Canis lupus familiaris: one gene and its partners. The protein of the gene in region 4 interacts with the protein of the main gene of each other region in a pairwise test. Links are inferred from orthologs where the notes say so. Each region holds a gene or a part of one and is shown on either strand. Other genes may lie near its edges. The genes, in order: GLYR1, BANP, NRF1, FHL2, CSN2, NIBAN1 and RAI2.

Evidence for each region.
Region 1: the proteins of FHL2 (region 4) and GLYR1 interact in binary tests that used the Homo sapiens proteins (3 or more experiments, as listed by UniProt). The two-hybrid records come from large-scale screens. The link is inferred for Canis lupus familiaris from reciprocal best matches to the Homo sapiens genes FHL2 and GLYR1.
Region 2: the proteins of FHL2 (region 4) and BANP interact in binary tests that used the Homo sapiens proteins (3 or more experiments, as listed by UniProt). The two-hybrid records come from large-scale screens. The link is inferred for Canis lupus familiaris from reciprocal best matches to the Homo sapiens genes FHL2 and BANP.
Region 3: the proteins of FHL2 (region 4) and NRF1 interact in binary tests that used the Homo sapiens proteins (3 or more experiments, as listed by UniProt). The two-hybrid records come from large-scale screens. The link is inferred for Canis lupus familiaris from reciprocal best matches to the Homo sapiens genes FHL2 and NRF1.
Region 5: the proteins of FHL2 (region 4) and CSN2 interact in binary tests that used the Homo sapiens proteins (3 or more experiments, as listed by UniProt). The two-hybrid records come from large-scale screens. The link is inferred for Canis lupus familiaris from reciprocal best matches to the Homo sapiens genes FHL2 and CSN2.
Region 6: the proteins of FHL2 (region 4) and NIBAN1 interact in binary tests that used the Homo sapiens proteins (3 or more experiments, as listed by UniProt). The two-hybrid records come from large-scale screens. The link is inferred for Canis lupus familiaris from reciprocal best matches to the Homo sapiens genes FHL2 and NIBAN1.
Region 7: the proteins of FHL2 (region 4) and RAI2 interact in binary tests that used the Homo sapiens proteins (3 or more experiments, as listed by UniProt). The two-hybrid records come from large-scale screens. The link is inferred for Canis lupus familiaris from reciprocal best matches to the Homo sapiens genes FHL2 and RAI2.

What each region holds. Positions count from the first base shown.
Region 1 is NC_049227.1:36,873,208-36,877,412, reverse strand, and holds the start of GLYR1 (putative oxidoreductase GLYR1), read right to left. Parts: upstream 2,834-4,205; 5' UTR 2,815-2,833; coding exon 2,711-2,814; intron 1,647-2,710; coding exon 1,610-1,646; intron 547-1,609; coding exon 467-546; intron 1-466. UniProt on the Homo sapiens protein: Cytokine-like nuclear factor with chromatin gene reader activity involved in chromatin modification and regulation of gene expression. Acts as a nucleosome-destabilizing factor that is recruited to genes during transcriptional activation.
Region 2 is NC_049226.1:65,737,999-65,742,082, reverse strand, and holds the start of BANP (protein BANP), read left to right. Parts: upstream 1-1,259; 5' UTR 1,260-1,383; intron 1,384-1,984; exon of another isoform or gene 1,985-2,407; intron 2,408-4,084. UniProt on the Homo sapiens protein: Controls V(D)J recombination during T-cell development by repressing T-cell receptor (TCR) beta enhancer function. Binds to scaffold/matrix attachment region beta (S/MARbeta), an ATC-rich DNA sequence located upstream of the TCR beta enhancer.
Region 3 is NC_049235.1:7,073,160-7,077,496, forward strand, and holds the start of NRF1 (nuclear respiratory factor 1), read right to left. Parts: upstream 2,817-4,337; 5' UTR 2,669-2,816; intron 1-2,668. UniProt on the Homo sapiens protein: Transcription factor that activates the expression of the EIF2S1 (EIF2-alpha) gene. Links the transcriptional modulation of key metabolic genes to cellular growth and development.
Region 4 is NC_049231.1:39,049,545-39,053,601, reverse strand, and holds the start of FHL2 (four and a half LIM domains protein 2), read right to left. Parts: upstream 2,826-4,057; 5' UTR 2,685-2,825; intron 2,390-2,684; exon of another isoform or gene 1,295-2,389; intron 1-1,294. UniProt on the Homo sapiens protein: May function as a molecular transmitter linking various signaling pathways to transcriptional regulation. Negatively regulates the transcriptional repressor E4F1 and may function in cell growth.
Region 5 is NC_049234.1:60,457,481-60,461,622, forward strand, and holds the start of CSN2 (beta-casein precursor), read right to left. Parts: upstream 2,868-4,142; 5' UTR 2,817-2,867; intron 930-2,816; 5' UTR 918-929; coding exon 867-917; intron 127-866; coding exon 100-126; intron 1-99. UniProt on the Homo sapiens protein: Important role in determination of the surface properties of the casein micelles.
Region 6 is NC_049228.1:18,054,265-18,058,372, forward strand, and holds the start of NIBAN1 (protein Niban 1), read right to left. Parts: upstream 2,868-4,108; 5' UTR 2,602-2,867; coding exon 2,547-2,601; intron 2,166-2,546; exon of another isoform or gene 2,067-2,165; coding exon of another isoform or gene 2,054-2,066; intron 1-2,053. UniProt on the Homo sapiens protein: Regulates phosphorylation of a number of proteins involved in translation regulation including EIF2A, EIF4EBP1 and RPS6KB1. May be involved in the endoplasmic reticulum stress response.
Region 7 is NC_049260.1:13,958,954-13,962,520, forward strand, and holds part of RAI2 (retinoic acid-induced protein 2), read right to left. Parts: intron 1,068-3,567; 5' UTR 1,044-1,067; coding exon 1-1,043.

The DNA of each region.
Region 1 (4,205 bases), on a different chromosome or scaffold from region 4:
TCAGGTAAATATGTATTCTCCTCCTTACTGTGACTTATATGGCCTATCAGAGAATCTCAAGGGAATGGTCCTGATTTCACTGTGTATCTCACACATGAACCACAATGATAAACAGCCATTAAAAGAGAGCTGAACGTGGTCTTTATAAAAGGAACTACTAAATTAAAAAAAAAATTTTTAATAAAAGGAACTACTATGGGATTGGATAAAGAGATGTGAGAAATGACATTACTGTGATTATCATATTTAAAAGAATCCTATTTCTCACCTGACTGACATTGTTATTGGCCACAGAACAATTCCTATGAGCTAAGAATATATTTAGGTATAAAGCCAGAACAATATGCCATTCTCACAGACTACAGTAAAAATGAACTAGGGTCCCTAGAATATTCTCATAAGCAGCTCAGATCCAGGGCAACGCCCAAACAAAGGGAAAGTGAAACTCCCAAACAGCACTACTCACTGATCTTCTGTTCCAAAAAACTTCACAAAGAAGCATTTCTTGCCACGAGGTTTCTTCAAGTCTTTGGGTGGATTAACAATCTGGGGAGTAAAAGGCGGAAAAAGGTTTTTCACACCTCTAAGTTGGTAGGAAAAAAATGAAATAAAACAAAAGGAATATGTTTAAAATGAACCCAGGATCTAGTACCTGTCCAAATCTGGCACGTTTCTACTGAGATGTGTGGAAATGTGCAAATATTCTAGTTCCCTACATGTACCATGTAGCAGTGTTCAGTAAGTAGAATACCCCTTCTACTGCAATGGCCCTGTTTTAATAGCAGTTAAAACTAAGATCAATATCAATCCCCTTCAACCATGTGACCCTGTGATCACTGAAAAAATGCACAGAACACTCTTAAAAATATTTCAGTGAAGTAATAAGGTGGTGACTATGCTTACTGGTAAGCACTGGGTAATGTACAGAACTACTGAATGAATATGCTGTACACCTGAAACTACAACACTGTATGTTAATTATGCTTTAATAAACAAACAAAACAACTGTGCAGGAAAAGTTGAGACAGGTAATAATAATAATGAAGAACAACAGAGGCAATGAAAATGCCATATTGCAAAGAGACAGTCTAAAGACATATCCTGGGCTCCTAGCAAGAATTTAAAAACAGAACATTTGGAAAGCTATGACGGATCGCCTCATGCAAAATCTGGAATGCCAACTTCTGCAAAGATGCACTGGAGCAGCACATATGGTAACATGGAAAGAAGATTTAAACTTAGTTGGGACAAAAATACTTTGACTTTTCACTAACCTACATTTAGATTCCGCTCTTCCTGGAGAATTTATTTTCTTCTCCTTTTGTTACATTTAAGTACAAGGCTAAAATTCAAATTAGAATTGATTTCCAGGATTAAGAAACTTCACCAAAACCATCTCTGGTTCAAGAGATAAGCATTTACTGCAGATTAAATGACCTGGTTTATACTGCACTGTCTTTTCTAAACAAACTGAAGAGTAGAGAGAAAAAAATTGTGTTACTTAAGTCCAGTTTAACTAAATGCCGGAAACAGAGAGGAATGAATCTTAACGTTCTTCACCTTCTCAAACCCAACTTCAGACGTCTTCCGTTAGTATCAAGACACTCACCTTTCCTGGCCAAGGAGGATACCGGCCGAGTTTCCCCCTAGAGAAAACACACAGTCAGCATTTGCCCTGGAAAAGCCAGTCCATCTCCTTCAACCCACTCAACATGAAATGTATTTTCCTAACTCTCCACCTGCACCCTCAAGTGCCAAAACAAAAGCTGGCAAACAGCAGTTCTTAATTTGGCTTCCGCAGCTGGACCCAAGAAGCCCGAACTCTTCAGAAACGAAATGCGTAAGTGCAATAAGGTATGTGCATTCTTGCGGCGACAAGGAATACAGAACAAACGAAACCAATCAGGAGTCACTGGTCTAGAGCCTCCCCAGGACTGGGGGCTTGGGGCGGGGGGGGGGGGGAGCGTAGTTTGCTCTGTAAACACAGACTTCCCCTTACAAAGTCTGGTTTAATTCACCGCGAGACCAGCCCGGCTTTGACACAATGCTAATGGAAACCTTCCTCTGGGTCGAGAAGTGAGCTACGTCGCTCCAGGGAAGCGGCGACGGTCAGTCTTGGTTCGGGCGGTTGTCTGGGACACGGAAGCAGACCACGAGAGGCACCCAAGAAGGCAGCGGTCACTGCCAAGCCTTCGGCTGTAAAGGAGAAGTCCCCCTTCCATTTCTTCACGGGGCAGCGCCAGCAGTCCGGTTTCGACACCCCGGGCCAAGTCGCCCGCACAGGTCGGCTCCATCGCAACGCGAGTTTTGACGGGCTTGCCCAGGCGAGGTGGCCCCGCGGGCTCCCCGGCTCGCCCGCTTCCCGGGGGGGAGCCTCAGCAAGACCCCAACGACCCGGCGTCCGCGGGGAGGCATGCGGCGCCGGAGACTCCCTTCGCGGCGGCCGCCGGCGTGCAGGTGCGGAGCGCAGCCCTCCCCCGGGCGGCCTCGGGGCTCAGAGCCCGGCCCGCCGCGGCCACTCTCGGCCTCAGTCCCCCGGGGCCGGGCTGCCCCTTCCGCCCGGCGTCGCTCCCGGCGCCGGCACCTCGTCTCGCCCTCTCTCCGCAGCCTGGAGCGCTTAGAAAGGCAGCTCCGGGGCCGGCCGCGAACCCCGCGCCCAGTGGAGGAGCTTCCCGGCGCACCTCGCTTAGCCCTGGCCGCCCGGACTCACCACACCAGATCGCCGAGCCGCAGACTCACAGCCGCCATCTTACCACCCAACCACCGCCGACGCACGGGCCGCCGGGAACACCAAGTCGCCCCGGCGCCGCCCATTGGAGTGCGCGCGGCCACGTGACGAGGGGCCGGCTGTCACCGGCCACGCCGCTGCCTTGACGTCACCGCGCCCGCCGCAATTCATTGGCCGGCCCAGCGGCACGTGACGCAGGCGCCGCGGTCTCTGCGCGCCGGAGCCCGGAGACTCCCGGCTCCTTCCCCCTCCCTCCGGCTCGTGACAACGAAGCGCCCGCGGTCCGAGGCGGCGGAGGCGGCGGTGACGGCGCGGCCGGCCGAGCGCGCGAGGGAGCCGGCCCTGCGGCCCGCCCCGCCTCTGGGCTCTGGCCTCCTGCCCCCTCCCGTCCGCGCTTCCGTTGCGGCCGTTAGCCCCGCGCCGGGGCCGGCCGCGTCCCCACACCGGGGCTGCCCTGACGGACCTCGGCGCGGCCTGGAAGCCAGCCTCGGCCCGCGCGCGGCGGGCTCTGCGCGGCCTCGCCCGGGGGTCTGACGGGTCCTTCGGTGCGCGCTTTCTAACGGCCGGCGCCCGGGGAGCGGCTCGGAGCCCGCGCCCGCCGCCTCAAGTTCTCCCGGGGCGCCGGGGCCGCCCGCCCGAGGTCGCGAGCTGCTCGACCGACGTGGACCCGGCGTCTCTGCGCTTCCTCCGGGGCCGGCGCGGCGGCGGCACGGCCGGCGAGGCTGCCCCGGGCGCGCGGGGACCCAGCCATGGGCCGCGGCGCGGGCCGGCCGCCCGCCGGGAGGCATGGCTCGGGGGCCGGCCGCTAGCGGCGCCGCAGCCCGGGCGCCCGGGCCGGCATGAGGACGGCCGCGGGGGGACGAGTGCGGCCCCTGGGGCCGTAGCCTGCGTCGCGCCGGGGACAAAGGTGCGTGTCTTTGTCGGGACCGGGCTCTCCCGTCCGCCTCGTTGTAGTTTGACACTTTTAGAGAAGTTGGGAGCTGGCTGTTGTGACAACAGGAAGGCAGATGCTCGCGTAGTTGGGAGTCCGTGAAGCCCAGGGCGTTGAATGGGGAACTGTTTACAGCAGCCCAGCGCGGAGCTCAAACCCCCCCTTCCCCCCGCTCCCCGGGTACAAAACAGCAATTTTTTGGAAAGCTCCAGTCCCAGTCGCAGGCCCCCAGTAGCCTCGGTGTTGTCGACCTTAGAGTTTCTCAAGAGTCGGTCTCTGCTTGAGAAGGTGGCGGATCCTTAACGCGTCTCCCTGTAGGTGTTTTTGTTGTAGACTTTGGTTGTGAGCACGTTTTGTTTTGTTTTGGTGGTGTGGTGGTGGTGGTGCCATTTGGCTTGTCCGCAGCCTGCTTTTTCCTGGAATTCAGTTTCCCTAACCGTACCGGCCCGTTAGTTTCAGGAGCTGTCATTTATACTGTTTTGTATTGTCCTCCGGACAAGCCAGGAATTGGAAGCACCTTTGAGATTCCAGGAAATGACTTCGTAA
Region 2 (4,084 bases), on a different chromosome or scaffold from region 4:
CCTCTTCCCCACTATGAGCACACTCTAGACCAGAGTGTTTTGGTTTCTAAACCCTGGTTTTGTCTTCTTCCAGCAGTGTGACCTTGCTGAGCAATTTCCCTTCCTCCCAGGACAATTCTCATTTCAATGCGAGCATCTTTTCCAGCACCGATCTTCTGTGATTGTTCTCTGTAATTTCTTCAAGGCACCTTTCCTGTAAAGCTAAGCCAAAGATCAGCCTCGGTAGATCCCCCAAGTGTGCATTCTGGAAGAGACTATTACTAGCAAGGTTGCCCAAGGGCAAGCAGCTCGTTACTGCCTCCAAGAATCAGGTTTTTATCATCGGCAAAAAGGGAAGTAGGCAGGAAAGTTACAGAAACAGTAGAGCATTTTCTTTTCCAAATGAAAATAGCTCCACAGTCTTGTTTTTGGACGACCGAAGAAATTCTTGCCCGTTGTAAACAACTCAGAAAACAAAGGCAAGTGTAAAGAAGAAAACAAAAAGCAGGGTAACCCCAACGCACAAGAAGAGCAACAGTGATACCAGTGAGCAGGAGTAACATTGCCGGATGGTGTGTACAGCCAGTGGTTTTTCCCCACGAGCACCAACAGACCAGCACTTATGCTACACACGTGTAACACAGCCACATGCACACCGCATGTTCGTGTACATACGCACACACAGAGATTACTTCCACACGGGACAGGTCACACCACGAACACACATTTTCCCCCACGCGTGAGCCCTGGGAAGTGTGGTCAGACTCCGGGGACCCGGAGCACCAGCTATTACTCGGGGGCACCCCTTCGGAGTCGCAGCGGCCTCAGGCCCCCCGTCTCCAACTACAAGTCCCAGCAGTGGCGGGCGCGGGCGCCGACGGGAGGCCGGAGTCCGGAGAGACTACAAGTACCAGCAGGCTTGGCGCACACGCCGGGACTACGATTCCCAGGAACCTCAGCTCGCGGCTCGCGCAGAGCCCTCCGGGATATGTAGTCGTCGCGCGCACCTAATTCCTATTCATTCAGCCTCTGAAGAAACGTAAATTCCTCTCGCGGTCCACCGACGCGACTTCTCACGGGGCTAGCGAGGAGACGGAGCGCGCGCCGGGAAAGGAAAGATTCCAGGCCCCAACCGTGGCGCGGCCGGACGACGCGTGCGCATGCTCGGCGGTCGCCGGCGCCGGCGAAGGCGCGCGCGGGAGGCCTGGAGCGGCAGGCCCCGCCCCCTGGCCCGGTCCCCGGGCCCGGCGCGCCCCGCGTGAGGAGCCTGCGCAGACGGGGCGGGGCGGAGGGCCGCGGGGAGGGACTCGCGGCGCCTGCGCAGAGCGGCGGCTTCTCTCGCGAGGACGGACGCCATTATCGCATCTCCCCGACAAACACCACGAGAATTCCGCAGCCCACACGGTAATTGCAGCTCCCGCAGCCGGTCGCGTCTCCACCTCCCCCTTCCCGCGGGGCGAGAGCGAGAGCGAGAGCGAGATCTCCCCTCCTCCCTCCTCCCTGCGCCCTCCTCCGGCCGCCGCGCCCGCGCCCGCCGCCCCCGCCCGGGACGCCCTGCGCGGCCGCCCAACGGCCCGCCGCCTTCGGCCCCGCCGGCGCGCCCCGCTCCCGGCGCCCTCCCCGCCCGCTCTGGCTCCCCCGGCCGCCGCCGCCGCCGCCGCCCCCGCCAGCCGCCCCCGCCCCCCGCGAGGGCCCCGCGCCGCGCCCCGGACGGACCCGGGCACAGGCCTCCCCTGTCAGTCGGCGCCCGGGGCCCGCGGGCAGGCCGCCCTGCGCCCGGTGTGCCCGCCCCGCGGGGCCGAGGGCTCACGGGGAGGGGAGGGGAGGGGAGGGGAGCGCTCAGGCTTGGGGAGTGCGGCCTGGGGTTTGCCTCGAGACCCCCGCCCCGCCCCGCCCCCGGTGGGCGCCCTGCACCGGGCGCTCCTCGAGGACGCGGGGGCTCGGGGGCTGCCGGGGGGCTCGGGGGGCTCGGGGCTGGCCGCCCCTGGCGCCCTCTGCACCGGCTGCACCCCCCGGCCTCGCCAAGGTCGGGGTAGTCCAGGGGTCGCCCCAGGTGAGGGACCCGGGGGACCGCCCGCCCATTACTCCGCTTCCGGACCGCCCTGCATACGAGGATCTAGAGGATCTGGAGGATCTAGCGGCGGGGAGACCGCGGAACAGCCCCCGAGATGAGTCGTCTCTGTTTAGCTTCGTTCTCCCTTGTGTTGCACTAAAGTGAGAACATGTGCTCAGGATGTTGGATTCCGTGGACATCCCGTGGCCTTAGGGTCTGGAAGTGGCTGCCGTGCCCGCGCTCTGTGCTGTGGCTGGGCCTGCGGACCACTCCCAGGGCTTCTCATCGCAGCCATCTAGAGAGGTGACCGGCCACCGGGGTTAGGACACTCGTCCAAGACGCGGGGAGCCAAGGCCTTGAACTCCTCTCTCCGAGGTCCGTGCTCTTAAATAATAATACATCTAGCAGTCATGCACACGGTAAACCCTCAGGGGAAAACTTAGGTTGAAGAGCAACAGCCCCGTCTTACTCCTCAAAGACTTAACATCTTTTTGCTCTTGGGGAAGGTCTCCGTAGCTCTGGAGAGTACCTTGGTATTTTATTAGTCTTACACATTGTTGACATTCTGTTATCATACGATGATTGAGCCCTTCCTATCATATCCCACCTTTTCTATCCCCTTAATTCACTGTGTTCACTTGACTCAGATTGTTTAAGACCGAGCAAATACTGTTTTTCACTTCTACAGCTTTCTGTTTTTTTCTGTTGTTTGTAGTGGCCTTTCTTTTTCTTTGCATTCTCTGTTCCCATTGACTCTTTACGTTGTAAATTATCAAGGGATAAGGTCATCTCTCCAACTCCCCACTCCTCCCTCCCCCCCATCCTCCTCAGCCCTCTGTCCTCTTTTTCTAATCTGGATTGATTACTCAGGCCAGTACAAGTATTCTTCTGATATTTTCCTTTATTATACATCCCAGTTTGTACAGGATTCCATGTTTTAATCTTGGCTTTCTTCATTTCAATATCATTTCTGCCAAATAGTCTTATTCGTTTTGAGTAACTCCTTACAATCCGCTTTGGTGTTAGGACATTTCCAGAGTGCCCTAGGATGTGGAGTCTCACTGTGGATGTTCAGTGCTTCTGGGCGCTTGCCCTTCAGCTCTGGGAAATCCTCTTGTATCTGACAATTTCCCCTGCATTTACTCTTTTATTTTGATGATGGACATCTTGGATTGACCCACTGAATCTTGTGTCTTTATCCTCTTTTGTCATTTTCTTCTCTTTTTTGGGAGAGGGCTTCAAGTTATCTTCCAATCCTGTTTAAAATTTTTTATTTCCACAGTTGAAAATTGATCAAAAACTTATGTGTTCTCCCCGCCCCCCCCCCCCCCCCAGTAGCTACTTGTGAACATATTCTTGATTTTGAGGATACCAACATGGGATTTTTTTCAATTCTTTTGTTCTTTGATTTCTTATTTCCTCTAGTGCCATTGTTGCCTTTTAAAAAATATTGGCTTCATACTTCATGTGGCAAATATTCCTTAAATATTGGTAATTGTTGTTTAAAGCAAGAGGAAATGGGCAGAGAGCTCTGAGTCTGTGGGGCTGGTTTTGAAAATGTGTGGGTCTCCCCTCAAGTCATTGGGAACTTGTTACTGTGTGGGACTTTGAGTGCCAGATTGCAGAGACTTTTTCTGTGGGTCTTACAGCTTAAGACCAGATCCCTTTGATTTGGGATTGGTCTACCTGGTCTAGGGAGGGTGTGAGCAGAAACGGCCTGTGCTCTGCTGAGTGTTCTGGCCTGCCACAGGCTTACCCACTTTGGCTGTACCCACTCCTGTATGCCCCAGATTGTGGTTTCCTTTGCCTCCATTAGATCCTATCAGTCTCCCAGAAATTTGCAAAGTATCTTGTCTGTGTCATATTTTCTTTCTTGTGGGATTGTTATATGCAATTAAAAATTAATTTAATGGGATGAGCAGAGATCACCTTTGTGGCAAGTTGCTCCTTGTGAGCAGGAATTACAGAGCCCGTTCTTGTCTTTCTGCTCTGCTGCCTCTCTTGGTAATGGATGCCATCCGTCAGTGGAACCGATGCCCTGAGCATTGTCCC
Region 3 (4,337 bases), on a different chromosome or scaffold from region 4:
CCCAGAGTTCCCGCTTTACACTCCAATTCTCCCATTTTTCACAGTGGCACGAAGTGGATGAACAAGACCACTGCAGCACAAAGCACTGGGATTGCCTAAAGAGATCTGACAGAAGCTGAACATATGCAAGAACTTCCTGTTCTCCATAGGACTGGAGGGAGGGTGTGCTTCTAAAGGCCCTTCCAAAAACCAAGTCAATGTCTTTTCAAATACTTATGAAAAAATTTTTAATTTGAAAAATTACTGTTCATCATTATTCCCCAACATTTACTGAATGCATTATTTATAAGAAGTATAAAAAATTTAATTCCAGACCCCCAAGGAGCTTAAATTTCCCTTAAAACAGTCACTCATTTGTGATTATTTCACATAAAATACTTCTTGAAAACAACCCAGGGGGCTGCTTGAACTCACAGTATACAATGCAAATTCAGGTATTTAAATCACCAGGAGTTTGTCTTCAGCTCCCTAACAAAATTAGAGATGGAAGTATATTTGTGATTTAATAAAAAGAAACCGACAATTTTGGGTTCCATTGGAATACACATGAATTGGGAGAGGAACCTGAAATCCTTTCTTCTTTAATCCCTTCTAGATCTGGATAAGTGCTCTCATTATCTCCTGCTTTTAGAGTTATTTCCTAAATCCAAGAGCTAAATTTCCTTAAAATCGCCTAAGAAATCTACTTCTATGAAAACTCTTGGCCTGAAGATGATTGGGGGGGTGGGGGTGCTGAGAATATGATCACTAACTACTAAGCAAAAAGTCATTTTCTCTCATACATTGAGTCTGAGATGGGGGGAGGGAAACAGCAGATAGGATGAAATCAAAGGACTTTAAGTAAGGATGTGCCAAAAAATAGTAAGTAGTACTTCTTGTCTTATTTTTTGTCTTTGTCATGGACCTAGTCGAAAGTCACATCTAACTCCTGTCAGAAGAAGAAAAAAAAAGTCCTTTGACACAAACAGTTCTGCACACAATTTAGGAACCCCAGAATATATACATTACATGTGTTAATTGTATGTTTCCTCTCCTGCTCATAGAATAAGGAAATTACACTCGTGCAGATTCTAGTCATATTTTCACTACCTTATGAGATAATACATCAAGAACATTCAAACACAAATCTGGATACTACTACTGAATTTTTAAAACAAAACAAAAACTCGGGGTCTCCAAGGCCCTCCTCCCACCTTTCCTTGAGTAAAGAACAACCCAAGAACTTACTGTTCAATGCCAAAGTAAAGCATTCTTGTTTAAAAGGCTGGACATGAAATAAGAAAAGGATCACTGTGGGCACAGAGGATGCCCTGGGAAAAAAGGTGAGATGCGCGAACCCATTCTCCTGAGCTCTGTCCAAGCTGACAGGTTCACTCACACTGCCTTCACCTTAACAGTTTTTCAAAAACATTGTCTCTACACACTTAAGAAAATGTGAATTTTACTCTCACCACAAAAAGAATTAAGCATAACTGACACCAGCTCTAAGTAAGCAATTAATATATTCTAATCTAACGCTTAAGAATGGATGGAGATCAGGCAACAGCTCCTCCAACAGGCTGGAGCATATTATCATTCGAAGCTCTAAAAATATTAAGATTTTCAAACAACTCCAAGTTCTGATGTGCACAGTCAGATGCCCTGTAGAAACTTTGGCACCAGCAGCAACGACCCAACAGGTGAGACAGGCGGTGGACATCACTGCACAGCGAGGTGGACAACATGCAGGGGCAAACCCTTGAGTTCCCCCGAAAGGCTGGGGCTATGAGATAATACCCAAGCACAAGGCCAGTCAGAGCCTTTACAGTAGCAACAGTTCGTTTCCTTCCGAGGGTCGCGCCACTCCCCCTCTCTTCACCCAGGGGACCACCACCCCAGGCACAGGAAGAACCGAGGCCCCTCCACCGGCGGTATCCCAGCTGGGGAAGAAAACACAATGTCGCTCCTTATTTCTGCGTACAAAAGGACTTTGCGCCCTCCCTCGAACTGCCGCCGCTGCTGCCCGGGCCGCCTCCTAACTTGCAAGAAGGTGGGCAACGCGCCATATTCCAGCGTCCCCCGGTCTACCTGGGTAACAAGCCCACGCCACCCCGGCGGGAGGGAAGCTTCGGAGGCCGCCCGAAGAGCTGCCTCCTCTCCCGCAGAAGACAGCGGCTCCCGCGCCCCGGCCCAGCCAGCCGCGCCGCCCGCGGACCAGACCCGGGAAGGGCCGAGGGGGCGAGCGGGGAGCCGCGGCTCCGGTCCCGCGCAGCCCGCCCACCTCCCGCTCCCGGGCCCGGCGCGCTCTCCCGGGCCTCCCGCTCCCGAGCCCGCGGGAAGGCCGGGCCCGGGCCCCGGGTTCTACGGTGGAGAGTAGGCCGCGGCCCCCAGAGCCTCAGGCGGCGGGGGAGGCCGGAACCCTGGGGCTCTCGGGAGGGCAGCGCCTCCCTCCCGAGCCCGCCAGGACGCCTGGGGCCTACTGCGGCCTGCGCATCCTCGGGGTGGCGGTTTGACTGGGCCGGGCCGGGGCCCCCCGCCCGAGGCGGGCCGAATCCGGCAGAGGCCCAGGCCCGGAGCCGGGGGCGGCAGGGTGCAGGCTGCGGGGCGGGCCGGCCGGCCGGCGGGCGGGCGGCGTGTTGCGGCTGCGCCGGGGCTGAAATAGCTGGAGATTGCGCGGTAGGGCACTCACCTCAGAGCGGCTGCGCTACCGTGGGCCTGCGCCGTGGAGACTGCGACCGCGCCGGCTCCTCGCAGCCTCCTGCCACCAGCGGCAATGGCGAGCGCTGCCGCCTCTGCCGCCGCCGCCGCCGCCGAGGAGGGGGAGGGGAGGGAGAGGAGGCACGCACGCGACGCACGGGCTCAGCTTCCCCGCCCGGCGGTCGCCATGATGGGGAGGTCGGCGCTGCCTCGGCGGGGCGGGCCCGGAGGGGCTTCTGGGCGAGGGTCCCTGCCGGCCCGTGCGGTCTCCTGGAGGCCACATTTAGTTTGAAGGGGCTGGATGGGACCGGAACCTCGGAGGCAACTGGATTAGTCAAGTGTGGACTCTCGGGAGAGTGGCGCGGGCAGCCCAAGATGGTTGCTAATCTGGAAATAGTAACATTTCTCGCCCCGCAGCCCCGAGAATTCTAGCACCTCCTGAATGAGCCTCGACAGTCGGGAACGGGCTTCCCCGCGTTTTCCTCAGCCTTGGCAGTCGCGCCTTCACCCTTTCTTTGGAATGACCTTTGTTTCCCAAACCCTAACCAGGTATTTAAAAGCAAAAAAATGTATATTGACTTCTAAAACTTCTGAGCAATATATTAACTTATCTGCTCATTCGTTCGTTTGGCAGACATTTCTAGAGGGCCCTTTTCTGTGCCAGTCTTGTTCTGGGCACGCTGGAGATGCACCTGTTAGAAAGATGAAGTCCTTGCTCCCAAGGAGTTTGTACGTGTGCAGGGAGTCAGAAGCAATAGGACCCCCAAGCAGGTGCCTGAGAACGAAGGAGGAGAAGGTAGCAGAAAATCTAATGTTAGAGGCATAGGACAGGTAGCTTTTGTTCTTGGTTTTTAAAAGCGTGCTTAGGAAACTACATGCATCAGAATCACTAGGGCTGATTACTTAAATTCTGGACCCGAATTGGTGTCTCCACAATCATGGCTTGTTAGCCCAGAAAACTGAATTTTTAACAGCCCCCTACTCACACGTCATCCTGGCAATTCTCATGAACGCCATAATTTTAAGAACCATTGCCTTAGGATGCATGGATAGTGCTACCAAATCATCTCTAATCAAGATACTGCAGAAGACTTCATGGTCTCCCTGCCACAGGAATTGCGCTCTCCAATAGATTCTCCGCCCTGTAGCTTGAGCAGTCTTTCAAAAAAGAAAATCATGTCATTTCCCCCACTTACTGGGCTTAATAAGATCCCATTGCTCATAAGTTAAAGCCTCTAAAAATTCTTTGAGTTGGCTTCAGGGCCCTTGGTGACCTCACCCCTGCTGCCATCTTTGACCTCATCTGCCACAGACTTCTCCCTCAGGCTGCAGCCAAATCAGGAAGCTCTCAAGTCATACCAGGCAGGAAGTTCTCCCACCTCATAATTTTTGCAAGGGCTGCTCTCTCTGCACAGAACTTTCTTTACTCTTTAGTCCTTCTCGTTACCTGCTTAAACCTAAATACTTCCTGCTACTTCCTAAGGCCTCAACATTAATGCCATTTCCTCCAAGAAACATTTTCCCATCTCCCTACATGAGCGCTTTGGCTCTTCTATCATCATACCCAGTAATTCTCACCTGTGCTTATTGTGTCAGGCCCTATTTTAAGTCCTTTACACACATTATCCCCTGTCTCATTTAATTCTCAAGGAGAGTCGATG
Region 4 (4,057 bases):
AGGCACAAGATGGTTGTGTATTTTTACTATTCAGTGGGTTGCATTAGTAGTGTAGAAATTAGCATATTGCTCATTAGCTCCTGCAGGGAGCCTGCTTCTCCCTCTGCCTGTGTCTCTGCCTCTCTGTCTCTCATGAATAAATAAATAAAATCTTAAAAAACCCAACTAGTTATATCCTGATAAAATTGCTTATCTAAAGCTTAATTTATGTTTTTTTTTTAAGTTTCCATCATTCTAATTCCCCATCATTATAAGTATTTGAATATTCTGGCTAAATGAAAGAAATCACAATGTCATATAAAGATAACTAATTTCAAAGAAATAAAGTTTGAATGCTTGGTGAAAGGACATTGATCATAAATTTAACAAAAAGCAGATTACCAAATGACCTGATGATATATTTTTTTCTTAATTAGAAGTTATAGTTCTCCATATAATTTATTGTTTTCAGATGCATCCTAAAATACATCAATGTGGAGTGGTATATAGTGAGAATTTCCCCCCCCCACCTTTTTTTTTTTTTATTTTATTTATTCATGAGAGACACAGAGAGAGAGGCAGGGATACAGGCAGAGGTAGAAGCAGGCTCCATGCAAGGAGCCCAATGTGGGACTTGGGATTCTGGGATCACACCATGAGCCAAAGGCAGACGCTCAACCACTGAGCCACCCAGGCGTTCTTTCCTTCCCTCTCTTGTAAAGCTAGTGTTAAATTAGTGGCTCATCTCAAAATCAAAGACTTCTTAGAATCAAGAAATAGGATAAACAATAAATGTAGTAAGACCACACATAATTTTTCATTTTCTTCTCTCTGCTGGTCTGTATTTTCTGGCATATATTTGTACAGTAAGATACAATGAAAGAAAATATAAACACTATGAATATAATTTCACCTCTTTCTTTGGTGGTGTTAAAAACAGGACAACAGGCCCCAAATGGAGTCACTTATATTAAGCTCCACGTCACCAAACACACCTAACCTAAGTACAATTTTGGCCTCTTCCAGTAATGGAATTTTAAAGCAGTCAGAACTCACCTGATGAGCATTAGTTAGGTCATCTGCCTGATAGAGCCCTGTCATCCTCTAAAGGAAAGTAATGTTGGAATAAACAGTCCACTTTTTTTGTCCCATGTACCTTCCTAGTTCCTGTTCCCTTCTGTCTGTAAAGGTCTTCAGTTTTGTACACACTGCACAGCCCTTTTCTGTCTGCTGGGTGGGATACTGCCCAATTGATGAATCATTGAGTAAAACCAATAAGATCTTTATAATTTATTTGGTTGAAAAAAATTTTTTTTGACGGTGGGGAGAGGACAATTTAAACTCAGTTTCTTGGCCATCTATTTTAAATCTGAAGTATTTTAGACACCAGTAGACTATGTAGGTCCCTGTGTTAAGAGCTATCAGATTACAGAGAGAAATATGACGTGGCCTAGCCTCAGGATCTGGAACCAATGGAGAACTCCAGAAGCACTAAGTGGGATGAAGAAATCTAATAGTGCAAAATGCATTCAAAAACAGGCAAGATTGAGTGAGCAGTCAGGGAATATTTTAGGGGAAACTATGCAACTCTTCATGAAGGTTATACATTGAAGCATTTTCTTAATATCAGAAAAGGCCTCGAAAATGTAATTGTGTGAGTTGAGTAGCTGGCTACTGCTTTAAAGACAAAAACTCTCCTAAGATTGGATGGATCTCAAAATGTAATAGGTTTGATTACAGCACATCATGTTATAAACCTAGCAATAAAACAAAATTCAAATAGCATTCCTCAAGAAACAAATAAATAAAATAAAACCAGAACAAACCTATATAGAGCAAGTCCATGATAAAATAACATCAGCCAATAACGCAAGTGTTAATACTATCTTTTGACCTCAGAATTATTTTTAAAAAATGGCCTGGTAATATCTCTTTTTATTGGATTAGACCTGATAAGGTGCCTTGCATGGAGTATGACTAGAGGATGTTAACATGTATGACACCTATTATCAGAATATGCCATCTTATCAGTGTTAACATTATTACACAATTGGCCCAAGCATTACTCAATACTGTGCATTTGCTCACATCCTGCTCTAGAAATTAGTAAATTAGTAAAATGTGAATGCATTTCCTTTAAGCACACAACAGCTATCTGTACTTTGGAACCGTCAGCCGTAACAAGTCATCTTGTATAAACATACTTTCCCAGCCTAATCAGACTCCTCAGTAATTTGCCTCCTCACCCCAGGCCATCCGGAAATTCTGTCAAGGAGAAAAAGCTCCAGGGCACTGTGGTTTCCCCCCTCCCAATGTTTATTTTATACTTTTTTTTTTTTTCTTTTTTCTTTTACAAAAAGCTTCCTGGTGTTCAAAACTCCGTGTAGTTCCTGTTTCCCCGTCTGAGAGGGTAAGATGAACGGAGGGTTCCCTCCGTGTTCTTTCTACTCCCGGAGGCACCTGCCGTGGGTTTGGAGCAGCGGCCAGGGCCAGGTTCTGTTCCTTCCCCACAGCCCCGCAGCCCCGGGCAGGAGCTGGCTGCAGGCGGGGGCCCGCTGCCAGGCCACTGGGGCTGGGTTTGGGGTCTGCAGGTGCACAGTGCCAGAGAGCTCCCTCCCGGGGCAGGAGGCCGCACAGCTGGCAGCGAAGCCTGGGAGGACACAGGGCACAGGGAAGGAAGGGGCCCCGGGGAGGAGGAAGCTTACCTGTCCTGTCGTCTGCCCTCGGCGAGCCCAGGGGCCAGTGGGGAGGCAGGGCCCACGCTCGTGGGCTGCTCCTGCAACTGTGTGTGCAGCTGCTGGCCAGCTGCCGCCTCGTGTCAGCAGGGCTATAAATAAGGTGCTGTCCAGAGCCCAGAGATAAGAACCCAGCCCCTCGCTCCCGCGAGCCTTTTAAGGTATCCAAATTAAAGGAGCCTCGGCCCCCAGATGGGAAGGGGTGCCAGCTCCCCATTTGGCCTGCCCACCTCAAGGACACCCTGGGCCTTGCACACAGTCCAGCAACCCAAGGAGGAGTGAGAGGGGAAAGCCGAGCGCTGGGAGGGATCTCGCTTGGTCAGACAAGTGGTGGAGTCCCTGGGGGGCTGCAGGGGCTCGGATGCTGGGAGACCCCCCCACCCCGAGATCAGGGCCGGCGCTGTGGTACAGAAGGGGGAGGAAAGTCATCCAGGCCACACAGTGCCCTGGGGTGTGCTGTGGGTTGTCAGCGCTGCCTCTTGCTAGGAGCACACGGACCCTCTTCCCTGGCTTCAGGGGTATTGGTTTGGGTGAAAAAGATTCTAGGGGAGATTCTAAGGGATCGGCTTCATGCTGGGCACGTGGGAGGCCGGGAATGCAGTCTCCTTATAAAGGCCCTCTCTCCCCATTCCCACCCCCCACTCATGCATGATTGGGGGGATTCTTGGGCCACAAATCATTTTCTTTATAGAGCTAATGCAGAAATCTTATGGAGCTTTTTTATTTTTATTTTTTAAGATTTTATTTATTTATTCATGAGAGACACAGAAAGAGAGGCAGAGACACAAGCAGAGGGAGAAGCAGGCTCCCTGCAGGGAGCCCAATGTGGGACTCAGTCTGGGATCCCAGGATCATGCCCTGAGCCAAAGGCACCCAACCACTGAGCCACCCAGGGCTTTTAAAAAAACCATATGCTAGAAGAGGTCAGAGAGGACTAATCTGGGGTAGCAATAATTCCTGATTCACCCCTAAATTTCTTAATTCTGGGAGGCTTTTCAGCCATGGCTGGGGTCAGGTGAAGGACAACTGAGGTCAGCTGTTTGGCAGCAGCTGTCTGCCATATGACAGACATTCCACATCTGGGAATTTATCCTAAGGAAAGGATCGTGGATGTCAGCAGAGATACAGCTCCAGGGACATTTCTTGCAGGTTTTTTAATAATTGGGGAAAGTTGGAAACAACCAAAATGACTAACAACCGAGACTGGTAAAATGAGGAATAGTATAGCCATGAAGGAAACACTGCAACCTTTGGAAATGTCATAGAAGAATATTTAATAACATAGAAACAATATGATGACATGTTGGTAGTGAAAATGCAGGTCACTTTAAGGGAAACTTGGT
Region 5 (4,142 bases), on a different chromosome or scaffold from region 4:
AAAGAAAAAACAAATCTATCAGCAACCAGCTTTTCCTAGATCATTGAAGAATGTTAATATTTTATGGTTGGAAATTTTTTGTGAATAAAAATATCCTACCTCATTGGATAGAGTGAGTTCTTCCTTCTGTAACAGAAAAAAATACCATTCTAGTTTCCATGGTTAACTCATTCTTAAACATTTTCCCTATATGATTTTTATCTTCTTTATGCAGAGCTATGTGTTTCACAAACTTGAGAAATAAAAAATGCTATATTGAAAGACTTGAAAGGTAGTTATTTTTATGTCTTTTATATTTAGTAACTTTATTGATATATTTTCTTCTTATGTGAATAAACGTTTTTAATGGCTAATAGAAAAAAATTATTATAATTTGTTTTAAACAGTTTATTATTATTACAAATATATTTATGATTATGATTATCGTGTGATACTCCATCCTCTCTCTAAATGTCTTTGGACAAACACAGGTAGAATTGGGCCCAGGGCCATAAGGTAAAGATACATATATTTTATTACTGGAATAAGATATATTTATCTAGGGTGCACATGCCTGCAATCATATTTGTGCAATATTATTATTGTCATGTTTATATCCATTTATTTTTGTTTTGTCTGTTTGCTTATCTGTCCATTTGCTTTTCTTTTTGGGACTGATAGCACAGTATATACCACTGTATACCATTTGACCCAAATCTGTGCTCCTATTGCACACTGTCAAAATAATGTGTCATGCAAATCATTTTCCAGGAAGTCAAAATAAATCTGTTGAAATTCTGCTTTATTTGTACTTTAAAAATGTTGAGGATATTCTTCTCTCCACATAGGTAGATACTCCATTCTATCCTAATTAGACATTTGCTTACCTCTCTTGCAAGAGCAAGAGCCACAAGGCAGGCAAGGATGAAAACCTTCATGGTTATCAAGTCCTGTCAATGAGGAAATGGAAGAATGGTAATACCTTGGTCAAGCTATTTTCTTAATTTAGCTAGGATTACTTTCCTTTTAAAGAAACTAAAGATAATATGTAATAAAAAAAACCCTGTATTTTAGAAAAAAATACTAATAGATGCTTTATCATACGGGCAAGGTCAAAATCTACTGTGGCTCTTTACTCTTACATGTCATTTTCATACCATTCATATTTTTTCATCCATTACCATTACCCTACCTCACTCTTTTTCATCTCATTCACAGCACTATAGTTGGGTTTTTGGAAGGACAGAAAAAAAGTTATAAATATTTACAGAAATATTTACTAATTGATTCATTTGTTCAAAAATATTTATTTAACATCTTTTATTGCCAGACACTATCTAGGTACTGGGTTGATAGCAGCAAACAAATGTCTCAGCCTTGATAAAGCCTCAGTTCTATCAGGAGGTAACTGATCAAAGAAAATGTATATGCAGATTATATTTTCTTTTATCTTTTTTTTTCTTTTTACTAAACCAATGGTTTCCATGAATATTTGTTTAGTCATTTCCATATAATAATGCCTCCTCTCTTTTGTGCACATAACTTTAGAGATTGTACACTGTATTTTTTTTTCTGATTTCTTGATGATTTACCAAAGTGTCTGGTCCCCTTGCCCAATCCCCACTTCAAACAACCTCTTCTTGTAGTATAACATGATATATATGTTAAAGTTTCTAACCAAAATGTACTAAATGCTTGATTTTGTTGCATTTCTGTAATTGCTTGTACAAAATAATGTTTGTACCACTAATATCATTTGGCATACAATCTTCAATCTCAGATATTTAAACAAATTTCTAAACTAAAAATGTCTCATGAAAAAAGTCCCTAATTCATCTGCAAAATATCCCTTCCAATATTTGAAGTCTGAAAATTATTCTTACTTCAGAAAAAGATTTTCTTTTCTAGATCTTTCTCATGGGTACTATATAAACTTTAATTTTACTTTGCCTAAGAGCTTCAGAAGTTTCCAAATAATTTCTCATTGTCAGGACCCCCAAAAAAGAATATAGCATTCTATTAGAGATCATAATGTGTAGGAAGAATCTTATTTCATTTTCTATATTTTCTAATTAGCATTTTATATATTAATTTTTTTAGCCAGAACCTCATTTTTTACCAATGTATTCTATAGTATTCTTTCTTTCAAATCTTCTCTTTCTTTTGCTTTAGTTTCAAGTCATCTCTGTATCATCTTTTTTTCTTTTTTTGGAATTTTTTTCCAAAGTAAAAACATTTTCCCTTTAACTTAATTCTGTATTTTATGTCTATTTTAACAATATTTTGAGCTATTATAAACCAAATGATAAAGGGGGAGGTTGGATACACTAAATAAATTTGAATACATATTTCTGAAAAAATATTTATAAACATTTCAAGTAGTGCATATCCCCAAACAAATTCTGCAGTTTCTTGACTCAATATGCTACCTCTAAAACTACTTTTGGGTAAAAGTTTCCCATTAATTATTCATATCCCAAACCAACAATTTAAGTATATTTTCTTTTATTGCTTTAGTATGTTTAACCAACTTGGAAGATTTATTAATTCAAGAAGTAGATTTTTTAATATAGCTTATTCATTGGCTTTGTATTAAAAATGGTTATCATTATTACTACATTTTTTAGACTCATAAAACATTTGCACTCATAATTTTTATCAAATGTTCTTAGATCTTTCTATTTTTTTAACCTAGGTATTGAAAATAGTGTCAGTGCTATTTTAAATACTCTTATTTCAAAGATCCTATTTTAAGCAATTATTTTCTTCATATAATTTAGCCTAGTTGAAATAAAAGTGAAGAGAGAATACATAAAATTTATATATGAAATTCTTACCTTTTTTCCAAGGTGGAGTACAGAAAGTGAAGGGGAAGCTAAGTGGATGATGGTCTGTCTGCTTTTGTGGTGGTTTATATACTGTATTTGGTGGTATGCTAATTTTGCGGTTTGAGATAAAATCAACGGTCAGCTTCAATTCCAAGAGGTCCACATGATTAGAATATGATTTCTGCCTATTATCTGTCCCCAGAAATTCTGAGGAGCATTTTAACAAGAAAGCAAATCACAAGCCAATAAAGGAAATCTGTCCAGGAAATGTAATTGTCTAATAACTGGAAGACATTGAGGCTCTGGCCCAATCCACAACTTATTGTGGATGCAGTTAAGTCTCTTCAGCCCTCGTGGCTCCTCAAGATATTAACTGTGAGGGGATTTCTATATGAATATCAGACATACGAGGGACTTCACAGAGGCCACAACTTCACGCCAACCTAAGCAGTTGTTGGTGTTTCATGCTACAGTGGAGAAAATAACAAGATAACAAGTCCATGATGATAGTTTAGTCATGTAAGGCTAACTGCTAAGCTCCCAGAACTACTTGATTTGGGAAGAATAAATTTCTCACTTCAACATTGTGTACACAAGAGGAATAAATTTTCCTCTGTAATGAAACATCTTAGAAAAGGAATCTATCTGGATAGCTGGTACAGTGAAAATTCTTGGTAAATCTGTAACAAAAATTTTGTAAAATGTCATGCAGACTTATTTACCTGATAAATATTACCTTTTTCTATTTCAGGCATAATAACCTTTATTTTTTATGCTTACTATACCCCTATTCCAGGCACTATGTGTTTTACAGACATTATCTTGTATAATCTTTACAAAAATATCATGAGGTAGTTGTCCTTTCCATATTTTGGTTGAAGAAATTGAGACAAGAGATTGAGTAACTTGCTCAAATCATATTTTCGTTAATTGCAAAGATACCACTTAAAACTAGATCTGTCTGACTACATGTATTTCTGTTTGTTCATATGCAGTGTCCATGTTTTAACTCCTTTTATAAACTCTGTTATAAAACTTGTTCTTAATGTAGCATTTGTGCTTAAATGTGTAGGATTTAATTATGCTTGAATTGGAGGAGTGGGGCATTGGTGATGAGTGTGGGCAGGGGAATTGGTTATTAAAGAGCTGTGCTTTTAGTTAGACCTGAAAAGAATAAGTAGTATTTTAAGAAATGATAAAATGTGAATAAAGTATTTTGGCTGAAGGAAAGAGGAATTGAAGAGAAAAATACCACATTTGGTGGGATTTGTACTTCAGGATATGTAGAAGGCAGAGAGTATAAAACTACTATTGCAAGGGTTTGATGGAGTCAGA
Region 6 (4,108 bases), on a different chromosome or scaffold from region 4:
CACTGAAGGTTAACAGATGACACTGTTCATTTGATTAGAAGGAGGTCTTACTATTATTTATGAGTTGAAACATCTTGATCAAGTGAAGTCACTGAAATTTTCTAGAAGCAATACTAAAAATGTATTCTGTGGTAAGAAACATGAGTGTGGGAGTAATTTTCAAAGCATCTTTAGAAATGAAGTAACTCCTTAATACTTCTGATATCCTTTTACCCAGAAATTTACTAAATCCTAAAAAATAATGTATTTTTGAAACAGCCATGTGACGAACATCCCTATTAATACAAGTTTTGATGCACACAAACTAAACTGCAGCTGTTAAATGATTTGTCTAAAAGTAAAAGCTGATTCAGACTCATTAGCATGCCAGAAGTACAGCTGCTTTAACACATACAAGATTAAGCCAACAAAACTCACTCCAAATATACTGACTAGTTATTCTCCATATGTTAGCAAAGTTTATCAAGCTTGAAGGAAAGTTCTTGAATCAGCTCTAGGAGCTTTCAAATCTCTAACAGTTTACTGGCAGCCACTTTATGAGAAACAGGTCATAAAATTGTATCTAAACTTTACTGTCATATTTTCAATTGTTCTGTTTACAATTAGATCAGAACTTGAGAAGATGCATGGGCTAAATGATGGGCAAAGTGGAGAAGACAGGATGATTTTTTTTTTTCAGGGATCTGGGGCTTCAAAACCATCAGGAAATCACAGCCCCATGACCTTCATGTGCTCATGCAGTAACAATTCAGAACGCCATGCATTTTTCCAATGCTCTTTTCTCTTTTGGCAAGACTAGTATTCTCAAATGAGGCAACGTCTCAGTTTCTCTGGAGGTATTCTAACTTTAACTCTTCTTTTCCCTCTGCCTCTACATACCTTGAAAGTGCTCTCCCAAAGAATAAGAAGATAAAAATTGAACAAGACTTGTGGATGTAATGACTGTTATCCAATCTGCAATAGTTTTATTCATTCAGAGCATATCCGTTACAAGTCTTTCTTGTGCACTAGCCATCTCATACTTTCGTATGTACAATCATTTAATTTCCCAATAAAATAAAAGCTAACATATTTTCTCTTCACATGAATACAGTGCTTGCAGCAGCAGCAACAACTGTCATGACCATGAAGTCTTCAAAAACATGAATCCCTTACATTGCTGGACTTTCAATTATTACCGTAGATGGCCACGATTCAACGTTAGGTGTTTTTAAGCTTCGTGGTGAAATAAAGTCTTCTAAAATAAATGGCATAACCATACTTTGCAAATAACTGAATGCAAACCCCTTCTGACTATGTCCTACTACAGTTTTTTCCGTTCCTTACAACGAGCACATAGCCAAATTTGTAAGACTCAAGGCGGCCTTAGTTTAGCTGTGTTGCTAATATAAATAAGTCATCCATCTTTCTCCCATTTTAAATAAACGACAGCAAAAGAATACCTGTCCAAGTTTTATCCCCTGACAATGGGTTGTTGATGATCCTCTACCTCCAGAAGCACCAGAGCAGGAGGAAGAATCTGGAAAGTCAATTATGTTGCTCTCAAGTGCCCTGATTTGATATCCTTTGAAAATGGTTTTAAACTGAAAACAAATATGGAATAAGGACACTAAATAAATGCTTTCCTTGTAGGAAAGGTTCAGGGACCAGAAAGAGAAGAACCTAAACAGGATGAACTTAACCATTTCTTTACAGAATTGGGGTAAAACTTAGAGCTCAATACGTAGTTTAGAAGGTATTTCTAAAAATAGAAAATTACCAAATTCGTAAGATAACCCAATGTTAGGTAGTGGTTGCGGACAAGGTTGCCAGGGAGGAAGGGACCAGGGCCAAGTACACCCAGGAGATAGAGTCATGATTTTCTGCAGTTTCAATTCAGTTTGTTGGGTTTTTTTTTTTTTTTCTTCCTGCCTGTAGTGAGTCACCGTATCTCTGGAAGTCTCCCCAAATGAGTTTGTCTCCATCTATAACTTTAGCAACTGTTAACGGAATACGCCAATGTTCCTCTTTTGCCTTGCCCCCATCTCCGGGAAGGGAAAAGGAACCGTACAACCTGGGAGCTTCATGACACGGTCCTTTCTGCTTCTGATGAAATCATCCCACAAGCCATCCGAAAGTTCCAGTGAAGCTCTGGCCGACGCGTCGTTTTGCAAAACCAGGCCAACCTTACCGGCAGGGAAATTCTGCTTTAGAGGCCGGGAATCCCCCGGGAAGTCTCCAGCAACCAGGGATATCCCCGCGGCTCCCCTCGAGGCAGGTCCAGGGAGAGCTCGGAACGGAGGGAGCGCGAGGCGACCCCGGGCCCGCACCTGCCGCGACCCCGAGGGTCCCGCGCCCCCTCCCCGCCGCCTGCACCTGCCTCCCGCGGGCGCGCGGCCGCACCTCCCCGAGCATCCCCGGCCCGGGCCCCGGCGGCGGCGGAGGAAGGGGGCCCCGCGGTCCCCGCGCCCGCAGGTGGCCGCCGCAGGTGGAAGCGCCCGCGCGACGCGCCCCCGGGGGCCGGGTGGGCGCGGCGGTGCGGGCCCGGGCGGGAAGCCCCCGCGTACCTCGGATGTAGGTGCACTTGCCCTCGTCCAGCAGGCTGGAGGCCGAGCCGCCCATGGCGGCGGTGCGGGCGGTGCCCCCCGGCGGCGCCGACAGCTCCCGAGGTCGCGGCCACGGCGCACCCCGCTCTGCAGTTAGAGGAGAAACTTCCTCCGCGAGGCGCCGCCTTCTGGGGCGCCTCCTCCAGGCCCGCGCCCTCTGAGGATCTGTGGGCCGGCCCGGGGGCTGTCTTCCCGCCCTCGCTCCCCTGGGGAGCTCGGGGGCGGGGGCGGGGTGTCCAGCCTGGAAAGACCCGCTCCTGCCGTCGCCTTGCCGGCCTTTGCGGCTCCTCCCCGCCGGTCACGGGCAGCCGAGAAACACCTTCGGCTAGGTGGACAATTCCCCTAGGGACTGCCAACCTCTGGGAGCTGGAACCTTCCCCACTGACGAGCCACGAGGTGGAATTCAGGACCCCGCTGCTTTGCACGCCCTCGGGGATAAGCAACAGCCGTCCTCAAGAACCGCCTAAGAAGTTGTTAGAAATGCAAAAAAATTGCAGCCCCCGCACCCCCTCTGTGACCCGTCTACACACGCGTACGTGCGCACCTGCGCGCACACACCCTGCACCCCAATTAGAAACTCCAGGAGTGGGGCCCAGCAATCTGAGTTTTCACAGGCACGATGCCTGCTGAAGTTTGAGAACCGACAGTAAACTGTACCTTCCTGTAGCTAGAAAGATGGGCCAAGGAGGGGTTGGGGAAATGAAGGGGGCGGGGGGGGGGGGGAGAAAAACAGGAAAAACCTAAGCCTGGGTCCTGCAATATGTTCTCAGTCCTGAAACTTCTGAAGACCCCATCAAAGTCTGTTCTTGCACCTTTAGATACAGTCCTCCCCCTTGACAAACTGAAAATAGTTCATTAGAAAGGGCATCTATGGGACGCCTGAGCGCCTGCCTTTGGCTCAGGGTGAGATCCTGGAGTCCCGGGATCGACTCCCACATTGGGCTCCCTGCATGGAGCCTGCTTCTCCCTCTGCCTGTGTCTCTGCCTCTCTCTCTGTGTGTCTCTCATGAATAAATAAGTAAAATCTTAAAAAAAAAAGAAGAAGAAAGAAATAAAAAGAAAGAAAAGAAAGAAAAAGAAAGAAAGAAGAAAGAAAAGAAAGAAAGAAAGAAAGAAGAAAGAAAGAAAGAAAGAAAGAAAGAAAGAAAGAAAGAAAGAAAGAAAGAAAGAAAGAAAGAGGCATCTATTCTTTTTCCCACAACTACTATTTAGCTTGGCAACCTCTCCCAAATAACACTCAACTGGGGCAGGAGGGTCACCATGCATTTCTTCCTATTCTTAGTAATCAGATTTTTAGTGATTCCTATTGACTTAACCTCCAAGGTCACATGGTCTGTACACACAAGAACAAGGCCTGAAGAGGACTTGGAAGGCTTTGCCCTCAAAAGTTAATTAACTAGCATTCTAACACCAAGATTTCTCATACCTCACACCCAATCTCTCTCACCCTACACTTTAATCTGTCAATAAGTCCTCTCCATTCTGCTTTCAAAATATATCCAATACCTACCCATTTTTCACCC
Region 7 (3,567 bases), on a different chromosome or scaffold from region 4:
GCCAGCGACAGGTCTAGGGCCGCATCTTCCTGGCAGACGGGGGGACTGGCTTGGCCCGCCTTCAGCCAGGGCACCGACTTCATGGACAGATCCAGGGCCTCGTTCTCACTGCCCATCTTGATGACCGTGTGGCGGCTCAGCTGGAAGTACTCCCTCGGCTGGAGGAGATCGAAGGGCTTCAGTTCCTCCTTCTCCAGGGGGGGCTGGCCGCCTTTAAAGGGGTGCAGGCCGAAGGAAGACGGCGGCTTGGGGAAACTGGAGCCGAGCTTGGATTCAGGACTCTGAGGCACCGGGATGGGGATGGGGATGGGGACCGGCACGGGCAAGGGCACGATCACAGGGTAGGGCACCAAGAGGGTGGCCGGGGGCACCAGGGGGGACAGCGGGGAGTTAAAGGGCTGGGGGGGCACCGGGGCGTATCCAGGAGGAGGCTGACAGGGTGGGGGGCCGAGAGCACCCTGTGAGGGGAACAAATTCTGGAGCACGGCTTCAAATGGCAACGTGGGCTCCTGCGGCTGGCTGGGGATCCGCAGGTCCAGGAGCTGGGGTGGGGCCTCGGGGTCCTCGGCTCCCTGGAACAGGTTGTTGTGGATGGCACTGGAGGAGCACGGGGCCTCCTGTGGCAGGACCAGAGGGGAGTTGAGGTGCTGGAAGACGTGCTGCTCCAGCACCACGGGCAGCTGCACGGGGCCCTGCGTGGTCATGACATAGGTGGCATTGCCATTAGGGTTGAGCTCGGGCGCCGAGCTTCCCTCCACCTGCATGTGAATGGGCATCACCACCGGGCTCTCCCCGAGGCACAGGGGTTGCAGCACGGTGGCCGCCACCTTCAGAGCCACGCCGCTCTGAGACTCGGCCGGGGGGTTCAGGATGGACGGGGCCGGCACGGTCACCAGGGCCTTCTTTACCAGGTCAGTGGAGTTGATGTTCCAGGCTTCGGTGGTGATCAGCTGGGCCATGCCATTCTCCAGTCTGTTATTGGCCAAGGCGGGAGAGGAGTCGGTCATGTCCATGGAGAGGTTCTGGGACCGCAGGTCATCCATCACTCGGCTCTGATGCCACCGGGCCTGCAACACGGAACGCACGATGTGAATCTTCCAGAAGAGACTATTTATGACCCTCCCCTCCGAAGTGCTCGCTCTCTCCGCGTCTCTTAAAAGTTTCCGTATCTTAGTGAACCGGGAGCACACCCATCTCTCTCTGTATACATACATGTTATAGATATTTCCTAATATATACAAACACACCCAAATGATCAGCTGTGCGCGGAGAGGCCCAATTTAACAGACGATTAAGCTATAAACACAGATGATGTAATGACTAAACAGCCAAGAGAGGTTAAACAGAGTATTTTTAAGCCTAATACTCGGCTTATATGTTTAGCTTTCGCCAAACACAAAGTTCCGTCCCACGGTGCTCTACCGGACGGTCAAGATGTGTGCAGATTTGACTCGTCCACACGCAAATGGGCAGCGAAGACTTACTTCACTTCGAGAACAAAATAAAATCCTGTCACGTTAGAACGTTCTAAGAGAACCGAAGAGGGCCACCCGGCTTACGGCAAGCATCTTAAAGACTCTTTGTAGCAATGCTTCCTCCCGAGGAGGCTTGAGGAAAGGGACGGCGGTGCATTTCCACAGGGATCGTGGCAGCTGTGTCACGGACTCCCTCCGACCGGGTGCCATCCCCTGTCCCTCCCATAACGGAGAAGCCACTCCGCGGAGCCGGTGGACGTGGACGTGGGACAAGGGCATGAGTGCTCATCGGGCCCAGGGGCGCTTTCCGCAGTCAGCTCATGTCTGTGACCCGGGACCTCTCCTAACTTCTAGCTGGTCAAGCGGGGGGTGCTGCTGTTCTAGGGCCGGGGAGATGGAAGACTTGCTGGAAACAAACATCGCGGGCACCTCTGGCCGCCTCCTGAGAGGCCGAAGGAACGCAGTGCGGGTGCTGCCTGGAGGAAGCAGGGCTGCAACTGCGAGATGGCTCTCCATGGAAACGCGTCCATATTTAGCCTGGTTGCCATGGAGAAGGCAGGCACCATGTCTAACTCGGGGATCTGTGCAGCCCTGGAGTCTGGCTGGGCTCAATAATAATTCAATAATCCTCAGGCTCGCCAGGCAGGCCTTGGGCAACTCAGAATCTTGACCTCACCTGTTGGAGCCGTCTGGACTCTAGTCCCGGGGTCACCTCGCGTCCTCCTCTGGTCACCCCCAAATACCGACACAACCTCCACCACGAGGAGGAGAGGCAGCCCAGCAGCCCGCGAGGGTGCAAAGAAACGCAGTAGGCCTCACTACGGGAAGGCCGTGTTAACAAATGAACAACTGTGTGGTATTTCCAGACCATCAAAATGTGTCAAGTGCACAGAACAAGGAATTTCTCTGAAGCAGGAGGAGGCGAGGGCCCCGGGAAGGATGCCTTGTAAACAACTTTGTGGGGGACGCCCCTCGGCAGAGCGAGCCCTGGTGCCTCTGAGGGAGGGCTCCGGAGCCTGACTCCCTAGACGCAGGGGGTCCTCTGGAAACCAGGAGGTGACCCAGCGGGCTGGCCGATGATACCTTTAGGGCACGGTAGGGAGGCAGCCCACTCCGGGGAAGCTGAGGGGGCTTGCCCCCAACCGAAGGGGCCTGCTTAGACCACAAAGTATCATGCCTCCAACGCACCACTGGCTCCCCCATTCCCGGATGCACGCATGCACGCATCCATTCACTCGTGCAACCACTCCATGTGCTCAATGCCTACTGCACACCAGCGCTTTGCTGGGGGCTGGGGATGCCGGCAGGAGCCAGTCCCACAAGGTTCCTGCTTTAGCACACATCAGAGGCCAGTGGGGCGCATGTCTCTGAGCGAGAGATCTGCTGGCACGAGAGAGAAGGCATCAAGGAGGCAGGAGACAGTGACTCGAACTCCCAGGGAGGGGTGGGAAAAGGTTACAGGGAAGCTGGGATGGGGCCGGTGAGGGCGAGGACGGCAGCAGTGAGAGAAGACACCCATGGCCACCCATCTGAGGTGGCTTCTGGTGGCCTTTGAGGCAACTCACTGGGAGAGGTCAAGACATGCTCTGTGCCATCTTCCGGCTTCCTGTGAGTTTAGGATTACCCAGCTGTAAGGCTGCTTTCTTGTAACAGCTGCACCTACCTGCCCTTCCCAACGAGACGGCCTCCCTCCATCTCTGTCTCCTTCACGCACCCCTGTCCCCTCCCACACAGAGAAAGCCGACTTCTCGATGCTTCTTCCCCCTGCTCCTGGCACACATCTTCAGTTCGGGTGGTGGCGCTCATCTCTTCCCATGAAACCTCACTCCTCTCCCCACCTAGCCCAGTTCTAGGCCCCTACTCCCCCAGAACCTTCCTGTTCAGAATGTGAGGAGGGGACCTTGCCAGGACAGAGGGCCCCTGCTCCTTTCACAGATGGCTGGAGCCAAAACTCACTGGGCATTTGATACGTGCCGTGCTAGGTCTCTGCCAAGAATGCTGAGAACTTCCCATGCATTACTTCATTTAATCCTCAGAACACTATGAGAGGGGTCCTAGAATGATGCCCATTTTACTGATGAGGAAACTGATT